2 linked regions of the Arabidopsis thaliana genome follow. Each later gene encodes a partner of the first gene's protein in a complex. Each region holds a gene or a part of one and is shown in the gene's direction. Other genes may lie near its edges.

The links.
Region 2: RNEE/G (region 1) and RHON1 share a complex: the UniProt entries of both Arabidopsis thaliana proteins name them as parts of the chloroplastic degradosome-like complex.

Annotation. Positions count from the first base shown.
Region 1 is NC_003071.7:1,472,768-1,480,861, forward strand, and holds RNEE/G (RNAse E/G-like protein), read left to right. Parts: upstream 1-2,003; 5' UTR 2,004-2,193; coding exon 2,194-2,288; intron 2,289-2,558; coding exon 2,559-2,646; coding exon of another isoform or gene 2,647-2,662; intron 2,663-2,801; coding exon 2,802-3,014; exon of another isoform or gene 3,015-3,182; coding exon 3,183-3,441; intron 3,442-3,518; exon of another isoform or gene 3,519-3,529; coding exon 3,530-4,590; intron 4,591-4,672; coding exon 4,673-4,990; intron 4,991-5,087; coding exon 5,088-5,129; intron 5,130-5,395; coding exon 5,396-5,520; intron 5,521-5,612; coding exon 5,613-5,760; intron 5,761-6,069; coding exon 6,070-6,142; intron 6,143-6,261; coding exon 6,262-6,374; intron 6,375-6,489; coding exon 6,490-6,609; coding exon of another isoform or gene 6,610-6,678; exon of another isoform or gene 6,679-6,772; coding exon 6,773-6,928; intron 6,929-7,052; coding exon 7,053-7,247; 3' UTR 7,248-7,443; downstream 7,444-8,094. Other genes in the region: AT2G04280 (calcium ion-binding protein), read right to left, coding at 7,510-8,094. UniProt on the Arabidopsis thaliana protein: Involved in intercistronic processing of primary transcripts from chloroplast operons. The endonucleolytic activity of the enzyme depends on the number of phosphates at the 5' end, is inhibited by structured RNA, and preferentially cleaves A/U-rich sequences.
Region 2 is NC_003070.9:1,891,566-1,896,148, reverse strand, and holds RHON1 (Rho termination factor), read left to right. Parts: upstream 1-1,958; 5' UTR 1,959-2,070; coding exon of another isoform or gene 2,071-2,116; exon of another isoform or gene 2,117-2,201; 5' UTR 2,202-2,467; coding exon 2,468-3,682; 3' UTR 3,683-3,881; downstream 3,882-4,583. Other genes in the region: AT1G06200 (Peptidase S24/S26A/S26B/S26C family protein), read left to right, coding at 215-387, 975-1,158, 1,256-1,362, 1,461-1,545. UniProt on the Arabidopsis thaliana protein: Binds to and supports processing of specific plastid RNAs. Associates via its C-terminal Rho-N domain to single stranded regions of 16S and 23S rRNAs or to rbcL mRNAs. May be involved in targeting transcripts to RNases such as RNE or RNase J.

The DNA of each region.
Region 1 (8,094 bases):
TCATTTTATAGCCTTTTTTAATTACGGGGTAAAATAAATAAAATATTTAATAATATTTATTATGTCTCATAGTTCATTGCATATATTGTAGGCCTTCGAAAGAAGAATAAACATAATAGTAATGTAATCCTTTTGTAATATAGAGTGTATCTTTTGATATTGTGACAACAGCAAAGTATGTCAGATAATGACCAGAATATGGTGTGTATTCCATATCGATGGTGTGGATGTGACGTGCGTCACTAATATTCTCGGAACCTGAGACCGTCCAACAGTACTCTGCAATTTTGATTAAAATGATATTCTTAGAAGAAATATATATTTTATTTTTACTCAAAACTGCAAATGTTGCTCGACGAATATGAAGATAAGTGATCGTTCTATCTGGCTTTAGTTCACTGATTATATCAAGTTTTTCAGCCAAGTCTCAAGGGATGTTCTAGACATCAAAATAAGACAATTATTAAGATCAAAAATCTGACAACTAAAAGGTATATAACAATATTATTCATCTATTATATCTTGATTCTTCTTAGTAAAGTTTCAAGTAAATGAAAACAAGATTGATGTATAAACTTAGAGTACAAGAGCTTTGTGTCATTTATATAAAAGAAATGCTAGAGAACAAATGAGAAAAATTATTTGGGAAGAAGTGCTTTCTAGATCCTCTAAATCATATATATATATATATAATCAATGTATTTAAACAAATAAATAGAAACAAGACATTGTTTCTATGCACTTGCAAGTAAATGTGTTTTACACTTCACTAAAGCTTCCCTTACCACTAGACCACAAATGATTGGGCGTGAGTCATGTTTCTGAAACCTATATCATGTCTTGATTGTACAAATAACGCATGATTAAGCTGTAGATTCTGAAAATAGAATATATTGAAGCTTTCCACAGTTAGGGCCGGCTCATTGGGGGTGAAAGGGGAGCAATATTTCTGGATCTAAATTATTTTGGGTAAATTTAAAGGTCCAATTTTTTTAGTATGAAAAAGTGTCATTTTGAAAGATTTATAAGAATTTTTTAGCATGAAAATAGGTCCAAATATTTTTTTAGTATGAAGAAAGGCCAATTTAAAAGAGTTTTAAGATTTATTAGCATAAAAAGGGCACAATTTTTTCTTTTAGTATGAAAAAGACCAATGTTTAAGATTTGTACATGGACTCTGAATTCATTGAGCTGCCATAGTGAGTAAAATTTGGAAACAAAACTAAAAAAACATAACAAAATATCTCGTTGAATTCAATACAAAAAGCATATACAAACACAACAATGTAACAATTTCAAAATATTTGCTCTTAAGAAATAAAAATCTTCAACCTTGAAGAGCATATGTTAGAACCAAGCTCCTTCTACCAAAACTATATAAAACAATCGAAATAGAGAAGCATATGTACCAACAATGTGGCTAGCGGGTAACTACTCGTCAATACATTACCAATATAAAAACAAAGTCTGTCAGAAACACACTATATTCTGGTTAGTATCTAACAAACTTTGATGATGTTAGAAAATCAAATGATAGACTCCATATTACAAAGGGACTACACTGTTATTATGGCTATTCTTCTTTCAGAGGCCCATACTATGCAATGAACCATGTGACATATTCTCTTCATTCCCATACATGGCTACTTAAATGTTTTACCAATCAGAAATTTGTCGTTCTAATCACGTAATAACCTTTATTAGTATTCACCCGTTTTTTTAAAACTCCAACATTCGCATTCTCATCCGCTGCGTTTAAGTCTGTCGAGCCTATAACCCCCTAAAAATGCCATAATCTTCTTACCAATCACAATTGATATCATCATTTTGAACATTTCAAAATTCTCCCGTTGGGCTTAGACCTTAATTAATGGGTCTAAAGTAGACCACATATCTAACTATGAGTTGTTGTTGGGCTTTGGAAAACTACACACGTGTGAGACAATATCTACCGCACGTGTCAGTGCAAGGCGCCAAAGCCACCATTATCCTTCCGTTATCGTCTATCTTCTCCACCTTCCCGGAATCCAATTCACCAATTCCTAAGCATTCTTCAGAAATCCGAGCTGCTTTTTGCCACATCTATTCGCTTCGAATCTCTTTTCACCAGCTCAAAAACTGTCGCTTTCAATTCCGCTCGTTTCGTCCCACCGCTCCGTGTATTGCTGAACTTCTTCATAGCAACTCAATACCATGGATGTTACTGAAGTTCCATGGCGTCGTCTTCCTCAATTTTCCGTTTCTTCACGCGCCTCGTGGCTCGTTTCTTCTGGGTTTCCGCTTTCTTCGTAAGTTCTTTCATTGAGGCATTTTATCATACACTTTGTCTGTGGGATTCTAATTCCTGTTCTTATCTTCTTTCGATTTTTGAATCTATTGTGGAAGTGGGTTTCTTAGGTTCTGAACGGGATTGAAACATTTGTTTGTACTCAGTTTCTTGAGTTCATATCTCACAGTGCTCTCCCCTGAAACTCATTTTATAGACCAGGGAAAAATATATGCATGAATCCAAAGGAAATGATACTTTGGACTAACTTGGAATCTCTGTTGTTCAACAGATATATGTTCTCTCATGTTGAGCGTGGAAAGACGTTTAGGCTTACCTTGTGCTTTGGGGTCTCTCGTTTACGTCCAAGGTCTGCTATTGTAAGTGCACAACAAGGTAATTGGGAGTACAAAACTTAAAAGTTTTCAGAGAATATCATGGTTTAACTTTCCTGTGGTGTTCTCAGTTTGTCTTTTCATGGAATTTCAGTTGAGTCATGCCTCAACTTGTGAAGTTTCTTTGTTTGCATTTTCAGCCACTGAGATTTTTGTTATCTGTATTCTCAGAACAGCCACCTAGTCGTCTCAAAGGATTATGCGAGGTCGTTTGGATTGTGGAAGCTGATCTGGCAGCCAATGAACATCTCTACGTTACTGGAGATCCTTCTACATTAGGTAGCTGGGAGCCAGACTGCGCAATCTCAATGTATCCTACGGAAAATGATAATGAATGGGAAGCTAAAGTCAAGGTAATCTATTCTTTTGTTTCACTTAAGCCGTAGCGAACATAAGTAGAGATGTATCTTAATTTACATAAAACGTTTGAACGTTTAGTCGTAGTAACAAAAGGAACCAACCTCAATTCTTGAAAGTGAGTTCAGATGTCGTGTTTGCTTTTAACTTAATATGCTTGGCAGATTGCTTCTGGTGTAAATTTCAGGTATAATTATCTGTTAAAAGCTGGATATGGATCTTCATCGGATGTCATCTGGAGACCAGGGCCACAATTTTCGTTATCAGTTCCTTCCTCTGTCAATCAAGACAGAAAAATAATTATAAGGGATTCATGGATGAGTATGAGTATTTCCTCAAAATCACAAGAATCCTACGGATGGGGGTCTTGGATTGATGATGCTTACCTTTTTCCAAACTGTGTTACCCCAGCTCAAAGCGAAGGTAAAATCTCGGTGGTTCCTCCTTGTTCAGTCTCTTTTCATCCTTTGCAAAATGTTTTAAAACTTAAATGCTTCCAGTGGTTTGGCAGATGAATGCACTTCCGCCGATAGTGCTATAGAAGTCCCGAGAACACATCTGAATGATAAGCAAGTAGGAGCTGAATCTTTCTTATGTGATGAGCTTGCAGCCTTTTCGTCAGAGAACTCAAACTTAAGTGCGTTATTTTCTGACAACTATCAGCCTATCGAGGAACCGTGGTTGATTCAAGAATCTATTACCTTACAACATGAAAGGAATATGCAGACTGATAGCGAACAAGATGTTGAAAGCTGTGATGACAATGAAAATAACTTAAATACCGATGAACAAAATCACCAGCTGACTGAGACTCTCTTACCAGATGGTGGATTTTTCCAATCAGAATCCATTGCTACTACGATACTGATCAATTCTTCTATATGTACGGTGCAAAGGATTGCTGTATTGGAAGGTGGAAAGCTGGTCGAGTTATTGTTGGAACCAGTTAAGACCAATGTGCAGTGTGATAGTGTTTACCTGGGCGTAATCACTAAGTTTGTGCCCCATATGGGTGGTGCATTTGTGAATATCGGAAGTGCTAGACATTCTTTCATGGACATTAAGTCAAACAGGGAACCATTCATATTCCCTCCATTTTGTGATGGATCGAAGAAGCAAGCAGCTGATGGTTCTCCGATCCTCTCTATGAATGACATTCCAGCTCCCCATGAAATCGAACATGCTTCCTATGACTTTGAAGCCAGTAGTTTATTAGACATTGATTCAAATGACCCTGGGGAATCTTTTCATGATGATGACGATGAGCATGAAAATGATGAATATCATGTCTCAGATCATCTAGCTGGACTAGTTAATGGAACTGTAGTTAACCATGGCGCTGTGGAAGTTGGATCTGAGAATGGCCATATTCCTATGGAGAGAGGACACTCTGCAGATTCTCTTGATTCGAACGCATCAGTTGCAAAAGCTTCTAAGGTGATGTCGTCTAAGGATAATAAGTGGATTCAAGTTCGGAAAGGAACCAAAATTATTGTGCAAGTTGTTAAAGAGGGCCTCGGTACGAAAGGTCCAACTCTTACTGCTTACCCGAAGCTGAGAAGTAGATTCTGGGTATGAGATATGTTTTATCCCGTTACTCTTTTCCATTTGTTTCTTATTATTCTATTTTCTGAAATAAAGTTTATCCTTATAGGTACTATTGACTCGTTGCAAACGAATTGGAGTCTCGAAAAAAATTTCGGGAGTTGAGAGAACCCGGTTAAAAGTTATAGCAAAAACATTGCAGCCTCAAGGTTTTGGCCTGACTGTAAGGACTGTAGCTGCTGGCCATTCTCTAGAAGAACTGCAGAAAGACTTAGATGGTCTGCTTTTAACCTGGAAGAACATTACAGATGAAGCAAAATCTGCAGCCCTTGCTGCAGATGAAGGTGTGGAAGGAGCCATTCCAGCGCTGCTACATAGAGCAATGGGTCAAACACTATCAGTTGTGCAGGACTATTTCAATGACAAGGTAGTTAGCTCATTTTCCATACATTTCTCCTCCAGTGGCCCCTTTAGGTTCTATGTGTTGAATTCTCAAGTGACAGTAATATCTTGGTTTTTTCCAGGTTGAGAAGATGGTGGTTGACTCTCCCAGGACATACCATGAGGTACATTGCCCCCATTTTGCTCAATTCTATTTTCCATAATAAGAAATGAAGGAGACTTTCCCTTTCATAAACATCGATTTTATTACCCTCTACATTTATTGATTTACATATATCTTGAATGTTATTTTCAAATGCTCAAGTAAAAGCTCCAGTTATCCAACTGTTGCACTTGCAGATAACTAAACTTTTACCGTAATCTAGAATGGCCCACTCAATAGAGCAGATTGTATATCCAAATTATTTCACTAACTAGTATTAGTTTACAGGTCACACACTACCTGCAGGATATGGCACCTGATCTTTGTAATCGAGTGGAATTGCATGATAAGGGTATCCCTCTTTTTGATTTATATGAAATTGAGGAGGAAATCGAAGGTATTCTTAGTAAAAGGTAAGAAGGGGCTAACACTGCACTGTCCGGAGTTATAACCCACCTTTTCCTTAACATATATCTTCATGTAAATTGTATTTTGCCTCTTGCAGAGTTCCACTTTCCAATGGAGGTTCTTTGGTGATTGAACAAACTGAGGCGTTAGTCTCTATTGATGTGAACGGAGGACATGGAATGTTTGGTCAGGGTAATTCACAGGAGAAAGCTATTTTAGAAGTTAATCTTGCTGCTGCCAGACAAGTATGTGATACATTTTGACTACTAGATTGCATATTCATTTGCCAACCTTTTGCGGCAGAAATTCTGCCTCTGAAAAGGGCCCTAGTAATTATTCTATAGAGCGTAATGCGGTCAGATTCGAGCATATTTATGGGTGTATGAATTATCTGATGACTAGTGAATGCCGTAGGAAATTTTTAACATGGAGAAAGAGTAACTGTTTGAGGCCTGCTTGTCTTGTGTAGTTCTCCTTGAAGTCTACTCAAGTTTTGCAATATGCTGATCTTGAAAAGCATTTATTAAGTAATACTCGATGCGATCATGTAACAGATTGCAAGGGAGATTCGGCTGAGAGATATTGGCGGTATCATTGTGGTAGATTTCATCGACATGGCAGATGAATGTGAGTTAGAATGTCATTTTTATTCATCCAATCACATATTCAAATATTCTCGATGTGCAAATCCCTTTCTTGAATGATGGATGTCCTGTATACTCTTGTTTTTTATTTTTGGGTTTCAGCAAATAAGAGACTCGTTTATGAAGAGGTTAAGAAAGCCGTGGAGAGAGATAGGTCACTGGTAAAAGTATCAGAGCTGTCTAGACACGGACTTATGGAGATAACAAGAAAAAGGGTATAGTCCCAACTTGTGGATGTTTATCTCTTTCTGTAGAGCTTCTAATTAATTCTTTTGGCATAGCACGCCCCCTCGATTTATACTTATTGTAGTGAATCTATTTTTTTCACAGGTTCGGCCGAGTGTAACATTTATGATCAGTGAACCATGTTCTTGCTGTCACGCAACTGGTAGAGTGGAGGCACTGGAGACTACCTTTTCCAAAATTGAACAAGAGATTTGTCGGCAGCTTGTGAGTGTTATAATCTCGATTCTTTTCTGTTACTTCTCTTTCCAACCAAATGAAGAACATCTTGAATAAATGATTGTCGTTGTTGCCTACTATTGTTGTTCTTCATAATTTTCTTCATCCTTTTCGATGATTTTTTGTTCCATGTTTTGCCTAAAAATTTCAGGCAAAGATGGAGAAAAGAGGAGACCTGGAAAACCCCAAATCGTGGCCAAGATTCATATTGCGGGTGGACAGTCATATGTCAAGCTTCTTGACTACGGGGAAGAGGACGCGGCTTGCAATCCTCAGTAGTTCCCTGAAAGTATGGATTCTCTTAAAGGTACCTTCAGCACACTCTTACTCCTCTGTCGTGATTCGCTTTAGCCAGAAGCTTGCATTGATGAGGCTGTGTCTGAATATTAGCTTTTCTGACACAACCGAGGAATAATAAATGTCTTTTGTAGGTTGCTAGACATTTCACCAGAGGAACCTTTGAGGTTAAACCGTTCATGGATGAGAAGACAGTAAACGAAAGACAGCATCAAGTTGCCATTTCACTGCTCAAGAAAGCTGACGCCATAGCAGACTCCTCCGGCAAGAAGAAGCTCACTCTAATTCCAATTAAGAAGGAGAAGACCAGTGGTAAACAAAGGCGATGAGACTATTTTTCTTTCTTGGCATCACTTTTGTTAGTTGTATCAAATAATACTGTACCGAATCAATTTTTGTGTATCAATATCATCTTCTTCCCAAGATTTTGCATTCCAAAGAAATAGAACCAAACTAGGACATATATTAGTCTAAAAGTCACTGAGACAAAACAACAGTAATGGAAAATACAAAGCTATTCTACAATACAAAACTGGAAACAAGTGGTACAAGACGATTCAAACAACAAATAAATGAGGAATATGACAGAGATCAGGAAGTTGCAGCATTGCAGGTCCCAACTCCATCTTTACAATCGTTTGTAAGATCGTTGAATGTTTCAATCTGCTTCTTCCCTCTCAAGAATACTTCTGTGTCAACAGATGCTCTCATGTAACCATCAAATTCGACCGGGTTGCCTCCATTAAGCTTAGTAGTCTCTGAATACCACTCACTGCTCTCATCCCAAAGATCTTTGTAGTCGTAAAGGAAATGAGTGGCGTACTTATCTTTCAAAGGGTTGAAGAAGGATAATTCTCCTTCATTTGTTGCGATGTAGAGATGCCTTCCTTCTTCAACTTTGTCCTGCAAGGTCGACAAGAGAGCGCTCGGGGAAGTATCCGCTTCAAGATTAGGCCAAACCTCCTTGTTTCTTGCTTTCTCTCCTCTCTCAATGTGTACAGCATCGTAGTCCCAGTTTAACCTTGATGCAATAGCAGAGACGATTTCCATCAACCTTCTTGATTTCCATAACAGATGCCACGGTCGTTTAACAACAGATTCTGCATCTCCTTCACAAACCCTGTACCAATAATTGTCTGGTTCTACAGATCCAAACTTCCTCATTATCAACGTATC
Region 2 (4,583 bases), on another chromosome or scaffold:
CCAATGACTCAAAAAAAGCCGTCATGATTGTTCTGGTCCTTGTTGTTTCTTCTGCTGCAGATACTTTTTTTTTTCTTTCTGAATCCATTTTTTTCAGCTCACTTAGTTGTTTAAAACTGTCATGTAGAATCTGTCTTTTTTTTAAAAAAAAAAAAATTTAAACACGTTGTAAAATCTGTTTTTAGTTACCATGCTTGAGTTACTCTATTTGCAGAAACATACTAGAGAGAAGCTCAGTGACCGGGAACTCTTTGGTGTAGTCATGAAGAATCTATTCTATGGAAGAATAAGCTACTTACACTCGGACAAAGGAAAAGAGATGGCCCCAACCATGGGAACAAATGAAAGCACGCTACTTGTCCGTAAGCTACCAGTTGTTGATACAAGGTATGTTTCTTGGCATTAAGGGTTAGTCCTTTTAGTTCCACTTACATAAACAAGTTACCACTTGGTGTTCTATGAAATGTTGCTCCGTATGCTAGTTATCTAGTGGGGATATGGGATCATGTTTATCTTTCTGAAGTCATAAACGTTGGATTATTTGTGTTTCCTTTCTTGTGTAGGAGCTGTACTTAATTTCCATTAGCTAAAGTCATGGGCTTTTACATTATTTTTTATTTCTTATCTTGCATTTGGAAGTTGTAACTTGTATGTAGTGTAGGAGAAAGAGGAAATCGAGGATTAAAATGTTTGCAAAAAGTTATAACAATGCTTGTTGTTTTGCTTATGATAAAATGTGTAGTGGGTGTATATGTATATGTCTTCTTACTTTGACAGAATGAATTGGACAGAATTGAGTTGGTTGGAACAGACAAGTATATTTAACTCCGATGAGCTCATTGAAAATGTAAATTCTTGGTTTCAGCTTTTTAATGTATCCAATAATCAGTCTAAACCCTAGCTCGCAGCCTTTTCTAGGTTCAGTGTGTATATCATTAGTGATGCTCATCAGGATTTCTTGCTTTGTTATCTAGGTACATTTTCGTAGGGGATGCTGTTGTCTTGAAGGACCCGAATGAAACAAATAAGTATATAGTCAGAAGACTAGCAGCTTTAGAGGGATCTGAAATGGTATCAAGTGATGAGAAAGATGAGCCTTTTGTTCTCGAAAAGGATCAGTGCTGGGTCGTTGCTGAGAATCAAGAGATGAAATCTAAAGTACACCACTTACTTTCTCCCTTACATAATTACTTATCCATGTAGCGCTTACATAAGAGAAACTAAATCTATGTATACTTTGGTATGTATTAATAAGGAAGCATATGATAGTCGAACATTTGGTCCAATTTCAATGGCGGACATAGTGGGAAGAGCTATATATTGTCTGAGGACAGCAGTGGATCATGGTCCAGTAAGCAACAGGTAAGAGAAGATTTCTATTGTCCCCTATCAGCTTTATCTTTCTGTCATTCTTTTATTACTGAGGAAAAACAAATCCTGGAAAATGTTGCTTTTATCAGTGAATTTGCCATGGACGAGGATTCCCCAATCCTGGCGGTAGAACTTGACGTGGATGAATTGGCTAAAGGCCACAAGGCGTCATAATGAAGAACCTTTCTTGTACCACATTTTCATTCACTGTGTCGATGTTTCACTTATAAACTCCAATTTAGTTGTCATTGGAGGTGTTTGTGGCAAATGTTGGCCCGTTGGTACTTAAGCTTAATACGTCGGATGCTGTTGAGTGTTGACTTGAGGAAAAGGTTCTTCATGAGCTTCATCCTCTCTATAATAAACAACCATTTCTATAGAGAATCCACCCCATGGTTTTAAACCGAACCGGGGAAGACTGTACCGTTAATATTAATATGAAATTGATTTCTGAATTCGGTTTGGAAGAGTTGTAACCGAGATTAGACCGAATATAGATTATTGGTTTGCGTTAGGGCAATCGCTTCTGAAATGTCACGGTTTATTTTATGTTTTGTCGGCAATTTCACAAAGCCCATAAAGCCCAATATCAACATTTTTGTGTTACCAAGATAAGCCAGAGAAAACGCGAGAGTCGACAAGGAAAAGGCAATGCAAGAAGAAGCTTAAATCTCTCTTCTCTGCTCCTGAAGTCTGTTCATGGCGATGTCGGGAACTTTCCATTTGACTTCTGACTATGTCCCTGGTACTTCGCTATCCTGTACCCTTTTCATGTCTCTCTCTTTCTCGCTTGTCGATAATTTTTCTGTTTTATTTTGATAATTGTGAAGGCATCTATCTATGTGCGTCTCTATTTGTTTTCCGGGAATATTGTTACTGTTCTTCCTTGAATTCTCGCCGAGCACCTAGTGTTTTATGCCCCTGTCACTGTAGGCGGAAACGGCATGTGTGTGGAGAAATCATTTTGCTTTTGGTTTGTTGTCCACCAGTTGTTCGATGAAATGATTCTCTTGAGTTTTATAGACTTCTGCTTATTCGTGTGTGTAATGCAACTTGCTTCTGTACTGGCCTGCCTCTAGGGTTCTATGAATAACGAATGTTCTATCTTTCAATCTGCTTACTCTATGTTGTGTATTTGCTTGGTAATACAGGTTACACACTTTCAGACAGCCGTTGCTTCTTTAACTCTGCTGTTTCAAGAAGAACACTTGCCATATTACCTTGCTCTTCCTGTCTCGATCACAAGAATGGGCGTCTGAAATCTGTCCCCAATAGAAGTTCTTTTGTGTGCCGAGCAAGTTCTGGCGGCTATAGGAGAAATCCTGATTTCTCAAGACTTAATAAGCATGGTTACCGGGGAAACAACAGGCAAAGCGGAGGGAGAGAAGATTTTGATATCGAAAACTCTGATATGTTGTCTTCAAGAAATGGGCCTTTATTCAACCTGTCTAGTTCCCCCAAATTCCAAGCTACCTCATCCCCTGGACCTAGAGAGAAAGAGATCGTGGAGCTTTTCAGAAAGGTTCAAGCTCAGCTCCGAGCTCGTGCTGCAGCAAAGAAAGAAGAAAAAAAGATTGAAGAAGCTTCTAAAGGGCAGGGAAAAGAAAGTGAAACTGTTGACTCTCTTCTTAAGTTACTAAGGAAGCACTCGGGAGAGCAAAGCAAGAGGCAAGTTAGCAAATTTAGCAGCCAGGGAGAAGTACAAGGAGATACTGTTGACAAACAAGATCGCACCGGAAATCTTGTCACTTCAGGGAACAAAGATAATAATGCATCATCCTTTACCAGACCAACATCAAGCTTCAGAAGAAAGTCGCCAGTACCAAGATCTCAATCACCGCCAGCTTATTCTAGCGAGGCAACTTTTGATCAATCATCAAGTTACAGTGTAACCTGGACCCAGAAGAAGGATACAGTAGAGTTGCATGATGAGCCTGAACATGAGCCTGCGTATGAGCATGAGCATGAGCCTGAAAATGAGTCAGAACCTGGGCCTGTGACAACTATGCTTGAACCAGATTCAGAGCTGAAACCAGAGTCATCATCATTTTATCAAGAGGAGGAGGATGATGATGTTACTTTTGATGTGTTATCACAGGATGATGGTATTTTAGATGTGTTATCAGATGATGATGAGTCTCTCGATGATGCTGATGAAGATAGTGATGAAGCTGAGGAAGAAGCCGTGAAAGACTTGAGTGAATTGAAGCTGGTCGAACTTAGAGGCATAGCAAAGTCACGGGGACTAAAAGGGTTGTCAAAGATGAAGAAAGCCGAATTAGTGGAGTTGCTTGGTAGTGATTCCAGCTGAACCTTGCTCTAGTATGCACCAGTTAAAATGAGTTACTTTCTCTGTATTTTGTTTGTTTGGAAAATGCTGGCTTTGATGTTCTTGATTTACTAGGATTACCTTCTTCTCTTTTAAGTTATTATTATTACACTGATGTACCTTGTCAACTACAGTTTTCAGGACGCATTATTTACTGTTCAATCATATGGATTTTCAAAAATCTATTACCAACACAACAGGTTGATACTTGTTCGGACACTTAAAAGAGTCTATAATATAGGTCACTCAAATCTCTCAAGTAGCAGCTACAAATGCTCTGAGACTCTAAAGGTGTAGTGTTTGCATGTTGTTGAAGCTCATCAGGAATGGTATTAGAGTAGCTAAACCGCTTCTTTGGTTCGGAAACTTACTCCAAGGCTTTATCAAAAATGTAATTGGGTTCGGCTGGCTGATTGAATGTGGGTCCAGACCTAGCCAGGGTACTTGATAAAAATCATCACCACTCTCTGGTTTAGTTGTCACTTGTCAACCACGTTTTTTACATTTTGTGCTTCTCATTGGTTGAGGACCATTATTTGGCTTAGTTTAGTTTAGTTTAGTTTAGTTTAGTTGATGGTGATGAATTTATTATAACTTATATTGGATTCATCGCTGGATCATCGATAATACCAATGGTGCTTCTTAGGTAATGGTTTTTTTTTTTTTAAGATATATCGGTTTAAATTTATTAGCTAAGAACCAGTATCTGTAAAATCAAGATCGCGCACTACAAGAAATTGCTACGGCCAAACAAAACCAATTTCTGACGAGCATTCACATCTTCTCTTCTTTTTAAATTTTGGGCTTAGAAACCACAATTGCTTCCATGCATGGAGCAATTGAGGATCACATTAATACATTAGTTTGAGAACTCCAAATCTAT